3 linked regions of the Cricetulus griseus genome follow. The protein of the gene in region 1 interacts with the protein of each later gene in a biochemical or structural test. Links are inferred from orthologs where the notes say so. Each region holds a gene or a part of one and is shown in the gene's direction. Other genes may lie near its edges.

Region 1 (2,370 bases):
GTAGCTCTGCTCCACCCTGGCTTACAGGAATGATGAAAGAACTGTAGCCACTGGAAGCCCATGGGGATAGGTGGCTCTGGGGATAGGCCCAGGTGGGCCTGAGTGGGGGCCATGTGTTTGCTGGAATGTTGGTTTTGTCTATTTTTCACAGTGACCCCTGTTGCATGTCAACCAGTCACTGTTGCCAGTGCAACTTCTATAACCCTCTCATCATAGGACAGGGACCATCATCTCCTGTCACACAGCCATCTTGGCCTCGTGCCCCACCATTGTTTAGTTTTGACCTGTTCTGACCCTGGAATGAACTGAAATGTAGAAAGAAAAAGACTACAACTGACTTTGCTCTTATATTTGCTTTGCCTTTCTCCCGTACCTGCCCCTCTACCATGCCACCCTATGCAGGATGAATCTCTCCAGCGCCTGCAGAAGGAGTCCGATGTCTTACAGAGAACATATGCACACTACTTCGATCTCACAATTATCAACAATGAAATTGATGAGACAATCAGACATCTGGAGGAAGCCGTTGAGCTCGTGTGCACAGCCCCACAGTGGGTCCCAGTCTCCTGGGTCTATTAGGCTTCTCCCTGGCTATCTGAGTATAAAACTGGGAGCCGCCTCCTATGTGGAAAAGCCTCTTTGTTATCGGCCTTGTGTCAGCAGGTCGTGGTCCCTAGAGACTACCTAGTTGTAGTGTGACCTACATTTATAATTATTGTCATGTCCGAATAGATAGGAGGAGAAAAACAATTACACACTAATTTAAAGAGACAGTATCTTTTTTAATCAGTTCTCCTAAACTTTAATAAAATGTATCTTTAAATGTATGTATTATTCAATCCTTTGGAATGTTATATTTTTGGAAATCATAGCTTTTTATTTCCAAGGCCCCTAAAAACTGCACAAAATAGATGCTGCTTTCTATAATCTATTTTAATAATAATAAACAATGATTCTGTTACCTTGACTGGGGGTGGAACACTACATTCTTTTTAGAGTCTGATTTTATGGATTGGAATATCTTTCTTTCCTTTATTTATTTGAAATAATTAGTCTAGTGATTACAAAACAGTCATAAATTTTTAAAAGCCTTTTTTCTCTCTCTTTTTTTGAAGTCCTTTATGTAACACCCAGATACTGTGATACTGTCTCTTTGAAGCACCCTGTAAACCTTTTAGAGATTTGAAGTTGGGTCTTGACTCTTAATGCATGTGGACAGTCGCGAGCGTTTATGCTGTCGGTGTGTCTGTGTTGGACAAAACAATCTGTAATTACAGCAAAGTACATTCCGTTCACGGGGCACACCCAGGGGAATAAGAATAAATTGCTATTATGACTAAGTTGTAAACCTATGCACATCCCTTGCATTTCGGGCAACTTTATAAAACAGAAAAAAAAAAGAAACTGATTTTTATTAATAATAATCACGTAGTGAAATGTGTTTGTAATTTTGTCTCAATTTAATTTGTTGTAAGGTGGGAGGGGGTATTGCTGGTTTCGCCATTTCAGATCTGTGTTGTCTAAGAGTATTAACGTTTTAATTAAGCAAAGAAATGCGGATTTTTAATCTGTATGGAATTGTTTTAAGCTCCCATTTAAAGAGAATATACTGTGCAATGAAGAAACCAGTTTAGGCATTTGCTATAAACTGAATTATTCCAAAAGAATAATCTATAACAGCTCTGTAAATTCCTTTAAAATGATAACTAACAGGACAGTCTGACCAATTTTTTTTAAATATACTTCATTGTATGTGTTCAATAATTAAATGCCTTTGGGTCCTTCATTTCATTGCAGATTTGTTCAGATCTCCAAGCTGCTAATTTTTTCAGTTTTAAAATTTGCTGAATGCTCACTGACCCATTGAAGGCCCAAGAGTGAGTATCAGTTGGCAGGGTAACAAAGCAGCCTGCCAGAGCACAGCTTGGAGCACATCTGACTCGAAGGGCCACCTGTGGTCTCTCCTTCTTCTTGCTCTATCCCTTGGCACAGGGGAGTCACCTGTCCTTGTTGCTTTAGAACCATTCACCATCTCATCCCCTGCCATGTGAGAATCACTGGAGGAGGTTCAGGCTGGGATCCTCAGACTCTTTGCCAGAGGCCACTAGTGTTCACCTTCATATGTTCGAGAACAAGGCATTGATGTGACTTTGGTCCTTGGAAACATACCATCACTTTCATCGCTTGTGGATTAGATGGCCTCTGTCACTTTGTGCCTTGGCAGGATGTGCAGAACGAGTTCTGGACTGAACGGCTCCTCTTGGGCACTGAACAGAAAAGGCATGCTTGTGCTCATACTCCTCCTCCATTCTCGACATCCCACCCTCCCCAGCTATTAGTACACAATGCCATTTGGTTTCTGTTTGTAGA
Region 2 (3,665 bases), on another chromosome or scaffold:
CATTGTCAGTGCTGATTAAGGAAAGACCCTCTGGTCCAACGACAGATGGTAGAAGTTGCAGTGGAGATAACAGTACTTCTCTCTCTGTTCTCTCTTGTGTTGTAGAGTCGACAGTTAGAATCAGAAACTGGTACCACAGAGGAACACAGTCTAAATAAGGAGGCTCGGAAATGGGCCACACGTGTGGCACGTGAGCACAAAAATATTGTTCATCATCAGCGGGTGAGTATGGTAAAGCGCCATGACTGTATGCAACTGAAATCAGATTTCAGAGAGACTTAAGGAGTTGAATTTTATTTTTATTTGTGTTTGCCTGTGCACTATGTGTGTGCCTGATGTCCATGGAGATCAGAAAAGAGCACTGGGAATTGGATCCACTGGAACTAGAGTTATAGACGGTTGTGAGCTGCCTTGTGTGTGCTGGAAATTGAACCTGGATCTCTGGAAGAGCAGCCCATGCTCTTACCCACTGAGCCATCTCTCCAACTCCAACAAGTTTAATTTTCTGAATGTGAAGAATCCTATGTATGTTTTCCCTGTATGTTCTCAACAATCAGCATTATGCTCTTAACTCTTGCCTGCCTTGAAAAACCCATAAGATTTTTTGTTTGCTTGTTTGTTTGTTTTTGTTTTTGTTTGAGACAGGGTCTACTGGACGTAGATCTGGCTTTTCTGGTATGCATTATATTTAGACCAAGCTGGCCTCAAACTAACATCTTCCTCTGACCTACATACACACATACATACTCAGTAAAAATAGAAATACAGATGGACAGCCACACATGAAACTGTGCTTTCTATAAAGTCATAAAAATGAAATAAATTTTTCAAAATTCTGTGTCAGCATAAATTTAAAGTTTGGCTAGGATATGGTTAGGATACAGGGAAGGGTTGTACATATACAACTTTTTAGGGGAAATTTGCCAATGTCTATTAGTATTAAAATACAAAAGTGCAAGATAAAGTTCACTAGTAGAGCATCTGCTTACTGTGCCCAAGGTAGTTGATTTGATCACCAGTACAGCAAAACAGTGAACAAACAACATGTACAAATTCCACTTTTATGTTTTCATCTCAAATAAATACTCCAGTGTGCTCAAAGAGTCATTACTCAGGTTCCTTGTGTAGTTCTGTTTGCAGTGTTGAGAAATTTGAAAATCTTAATAGCAGTGCTCTAAGTGTAAGTATTTATCATTAAGCTGTTGGGCATGTACTTTAAGGAAAATGAGTCTCTGCAAACATGACAAGGTTTGGTACAAACATTGAGGGAATGATATATCATTTTTTCTCCCCACAAACAAGATTTTCATAAAAACGATTTGGAAAAATACAATTGATGGGGTAGTAATATCTTAGTGTAGAGAATATGTGATGGATTCATTGTGCAAGAATGAAAATTTTGTGTTGTTTTACATTGTGAATACTGACTCATCAGGCAGGTGTGACTGTGCAAACCTTGTAGTCCTAGAACTAGAGAAGTAGAAGCTGGAAGATCAGAACTCCAGGCTAGCCACCTAGTGAATTTGAGACTAGCCCGAGCTTCATAAGACCCTATTTTAACAACACAAATATTCCATATCCATCATTTTTTTAATTCAAAGCATAAATTAAAAATTAAGGTGTACAGATTATATGTCAGTTTCTTGATTTTGTGCCCTTATTTACTCTTTTACTTTCCATCATGGCTTCAGTTCCCTTAGGTCCAGAAATATTAAATGGGAAATGGATGAACAAACACTTAAGGAGTTTTTAAATGCCCACCATTCTGTAGCATAATAAAGTCTACTCTATCCCACTAGGGTTGTAGATTACTTTATCCAGCATATCCACATTGTCAACTCTACTCACCTGTGAGGTACTTCATCTCCATCTGTTACCAGATGACATACCTCAGTATCACAGTGCTAGTGTTCAAGTAACCCCAAATTTCAGTTAATTGTTTATCATACAAGTCCAGTACTCAGGAGGTAACAGCTTGTTATGAACCACAGAAGGGCAGGTCAACTATGGTGCTATGTTCATACTGCAGGACACATTGGAAACCCTAGTAAATAGAAAGTTCCATACTGCTGTGGTTTAGGGTACTCACTGAGATCTTGAAATGCATCTCCAGAAGAAGGGCTGTTATTGAATGGTTTTATAAGTTGTTACTATCAGAGGAAGCTAAGACAGTAACTCCTCTGTTTTACAACTTTCAGTTTTTAAAAATTAGTTAAAAAGTAAAAGTTTAAAAATGAGTCATGACTTTAGCCCCTGAACCCTTTGGAATTACCTAAATACTTAAGGAAAGAATACACAAAAACAGTCATCTTTATTTTCTTTGATAGGTTCTGAATGATCTGGAATGTCATGGAGTTGCTGTATCAGAACAAAGTCGAGCAGAGCTGGAACAGAAAATAGATGAAGCTAGAGAAAATATACGTAAAGCAGAGGTAAGCACCTTTGAAACTGAGTTTCTACATGGGTATTTTAAGTTGAAGACGATGAACAATCTCTGTGTCCACAGTATTTTTGTGTACCTATAGCACTTAAAACAAAAACTCTAAACCTACTGTGAAGAACCCATAGTCATGAAACAGTAAACAGCAAAAGGAATGTCACAATGCAGATGTTGATTTTAAAGTTTTCACAGAATATTAAGTCAGTTATATTAATGGTAGAAAAACTGATACATGTATGTTCAGATGAATGTCTCCATATGGCAGGTTCCCTAATCCAGGGGAACAAGCAAAGATTTGTCTAAGAAGGAAGGGAATGAAAAACACGTAATTGTAGATTTTCAGTTTTTTTTGAGTCATGAGACCTTTTTAGGGGCTGTATAGCTATGAAATCTCTCCCACCAAAAAAAAAAAAAAAAAAAAAAAAAAGTTGCCATAATGATTCTCTGTCCCCTAGAAGGGGGTAGTTAAAATGAGAAGCAGTGAAGTGGTAATTTACATAGGGTGTACTTTGGCAGTTTGAGATGATTAAAGTCAGGTTATCAGTAAGAAAATGTGCTTTTGGAAAGGAGATAAACTAATTGTGATTAGAGCCAATTCACTAAGGACCTATGCACACATGTTGAAAACAAATGAAGAAAATAATGATTTTTTAAAAGGCCCAACCAGATTATGTTTTTGTTAAGGAGGCAAAAAGCTAGGGATATGGAACAGGAGTGGGCCACACAGAATCAGAGGAATTCTGTCAGATCAGAGGTGGAATTTAAGTTGAGTAGCAGCCTGGGAATAATATATGAGTCACAGCAAAGGAAGCAACACAAATGTGTGTCATGCAGACCCACCAGGCTAAATTTGAACCAAAAGATGAAGATAGGAAGGAAGCAGACTTGATTTTGAGATTAGGAAATGTTTTCTTTTTGGTGGCCAAATATATACCCCAGGGAACATAATACAGCATTGTAAGTAGAAAAAAGATTCTAGATGAGGACTGGAGAGATGGCTCAGTTAGTAAAGTGCTTGCCATGCAAGCATGAGGACCTGAGTTCTATCCCCGGTGCCCATTTGATACCAGCACTGGGGAGGTGGAGACAGTCATGCTAGCTGGATCCGTGAGCTTCTAGGTTCAGTGAGAGGCCTTTTCTCAAAAAATAGTGGTAAAAATAATGTTATGTGTGTGGAGGACTTTCCTTTAACCCAGTACTCAGGAAGCAGAGGGAGGCAAATATC
Region 3 (2,340 bases), on another chromosome or scaffold:
ATGAAATAAATGAACTTTAGTGTATCATATATTAAATTATTAAATGTTTCATAGGTATTTGAAAATCATGAGTTTAATATGGCTCTATTTTTTTTTTTTAATGAAGAATCAGCAGGCTGTGAAACACACCATTTATGTCTGAGCACATGAGGGAAAGATGAGAAACTCAGACTGTGAATGGGATTTGTTCTGAAGGCAAAGAGCCCTTTGTCCATGTCATTATCTTATCTTTTCTCACTTGGGGGAGGGGGATGTTGCCTCCTGTTGTTTCTGATTATTCCCCCTGGCTCAGAGTCTCTCTGCCCTCCTTGCTGGGGATTTTTGGCTACAAGAGTCATTTCTGGGATGGCATGGGGGCAAGGGCTCCCCGTGTTTGCCACAAGCCCACAGCACCTGTATCCTTTGTACCCACAGGAGGATGTATGCACATGAAGTGTCCACAGCCTCAGTGCAGACTGGAGTGGTGCTGGAACTGCGGCTGTGAGTGGAACCGAGCCTGCATGGGTGATCACTGGTTCGACGTGTAGACAGACACTCAGGCACTGCCCCTGACCACACCTCCTTACGGGAAACACGTGGACTCCTGCCTTCTTAGCCATTTCGTCGTCTCTGGGCATATAAGCACATACAATGCACACGCACAAACACAGACTGCAAATTACAGACTCGGCCACTAGATCCTTTCCACAGGCACCCACGGAAGCCAGCAGCACCCACTAGGCACCCAGTGAGAGGCACTTTCGGGCCTCTGGCATATGCAACTATCCAACACTGGGAAGAGAGTGTAGCCCCTTGTTTTGGATTTCTCATCCCAGCAGGAATCCAGCCCTAGGGAGGGCTTTTCCAGGTTTAATTTCCCGACTTCACCTTCACTAAATCCATGTAGAAGCCTTAGGCGAAGCCACAGCTCTCCAAGGCTGTTGCCACGCTCTGTGTAAATTAGACTGCCGTGGAATCTCAAGAGCACACTCGAGATGTGAGGGACAGTGTTCTTACTCAGCAATCACCTATTCCCAGGGGGCCCTCCCCGGCAATAGTCAAAAATATTTGTTTATCCCCAAGAATCCTATCTTTATAAATGGTGCTGATGAGATGACAGCTCGGCGGCATACAAATCAACTTATCAACCAAGTGAGAAACTGGAAAACATAATTTGAATGCAGACTGTTTAAATTACAGTGAGGGCATCAAAGTGGAACCTACTTCCACTCGCTTAATTACCTGCAACTTTAGAAAGAAATTACTCTTTTTTTCCTGAAATTATTGCAAAGTCTGGAATTTGGTTTGAAGTATTCATATTGCAGCCTGGAAGTTTAGCCCATGCATTTGTCTTCACTGTGAACTTAATAGAAAAAGTGCCTATAAAGGGCATGTTTTTAGAAACAATCCCATGATGCTATTCCAACGCTAACAGCAGTGCAGGCCGGGTTTATATTTATGGAATATTTATAGAAGCGGCATTTCTAGATCAGCCACATGAGAACATGCCTGACCCTCCATCAGAAAGGGAGACACCTCTGTGTACTTACCCCCTAAGTCCCAGGGAGTCCCATGCACCCAGTGGTCCTACAGGCAGAACCTTTTGCGAAGGACAATAAACACACTAGAATATTCCTTAGGTAAATACACATCACATTTGAATGTTAAGTTTTCAAGATTTTATTTTTTCCTGTTGTGTTTCGTTTGGTTTGGTTTGTGAGGCACTCATAACACATAAAGCTGTTTCCACTAGGTACTGTGAGATGCAGTTTCTACTGCACCCTGTGCACAGGGGTGAGGCGTGGTCTCTGCCTTTCCCTCTCATTTGATTTTCTGACTTCTCAGGAGGCTGAGCTGGCAGCTGAGGGTCTCACTGGCCCCTGAGGCCCCTTGGGACTTAAGAGGCCTGAACCTTCTGAAATCAATAAGTAGATACAACCAACAGAATCCGATGCTGGTGGGAGAAGAGGCAGTGACCTCAGAATTTTCAGGTCATATCCCAAGAGCACCTGCTCCCCCACCCCAAGCAGCCTCACCCAGAACACTCCCCAGGAGCAGGCTTCCCTCCCCTTCCTCAGAGACACAGTACTGGAACAAGGCAGTAGTGTGAGAGGGGGCCACACAACATGACTTATCACCAACTGCTAGAAAATCCATCCTCTCCTTCATAATCCAGGGCTGCCAGACCCAAGTCCAGAAGCCAAAGATCAGATGGAAACGATGCTATGGTATCTTGTAGTGTGAGGCGAGGAGAGCAGACCTAAGCCCATGCTTGCATCCACCCCCACCAGGACCCAAGAGAGTGTCATATGCTGACCCAAAGTGGCAAAGCCACCTGTCCTGCTGCATGCAGGGTGTTCA

What was found.
Region 2: the proteins of Cask (region 1) and Fchsd2 form a complex in vitro, tested with the Homo sapiens proteins (2 studies listed by BioGRID and IntAct, with this or other methods). The link is inferred for Cricetulus griseus from reciprocal best matches to the Homo sapiens genes CASK and FCHSD2.
Region 3: the proteins of Cask (region 1) and Prkn form a complex in vitro, tested with the Homo sapiens proteins (2 studies listed by BioGRID and IntAct, with this or other methods). The link is inferred for Cricetulus griseus from reciprocal best matches to the Homo sapiens genes CASK and PRKN.

Annotation. Positions count from the first base shown.
Region 1 is NC_048604.1:119,083,048-119,085,417, reverse strand, and holds the end of Cask (peripheral plasma membrane protein CASK), read left to right. Parts: intron 1-402; coding exon 403-579; 3' UTR 580-1,786; downstream 1,787-2,370. UniProt on the Homo sapiens protein: Multidomain scaffolding Mg(2+)-independent protein kinase that catalyzes the phosphotransfer from ATP to proteins such as NRXN1, and plays a role in synaptic transmembrane protein anchoring and ion channel trafficking.
Region 2 is NC_048596.1:98,265,216-98,268,880, reverse strand, and holds part of Fchsd2 (F-BAR and double SH3 domains protein 2), read left to right. Parts: intron 1-105; coding exon 106-222; intron 223-2,327; coding exon 2,328-2,432; intron 2,433-3,665. UniProt on the Homo sapiens protein: Adapter protein that plays a role in endocytosis via clathrin-coated pits. Contributes to the internalization of cell surface receptors, such as integrin ITGB1 and transferrin receptor.
Region 3 is NC_048595.1:288,896,986-288,899,325, reverse strand, and holds the end of Prkn (E3 ubiquitin-protein ligase parkin), read left to right. Parts: intron 1-414; coding exon 415-527; 3' UTR 528-1,731; downstream 1,732-2,340. UniProt on the Homo sapiens protein: Functions within a multiprotein E3 ubiquitin ligase complex, catalyzing the covalent attachment of ubiquitin moieties onto substrate proteins. Substrates include SYT11 and VDAC1.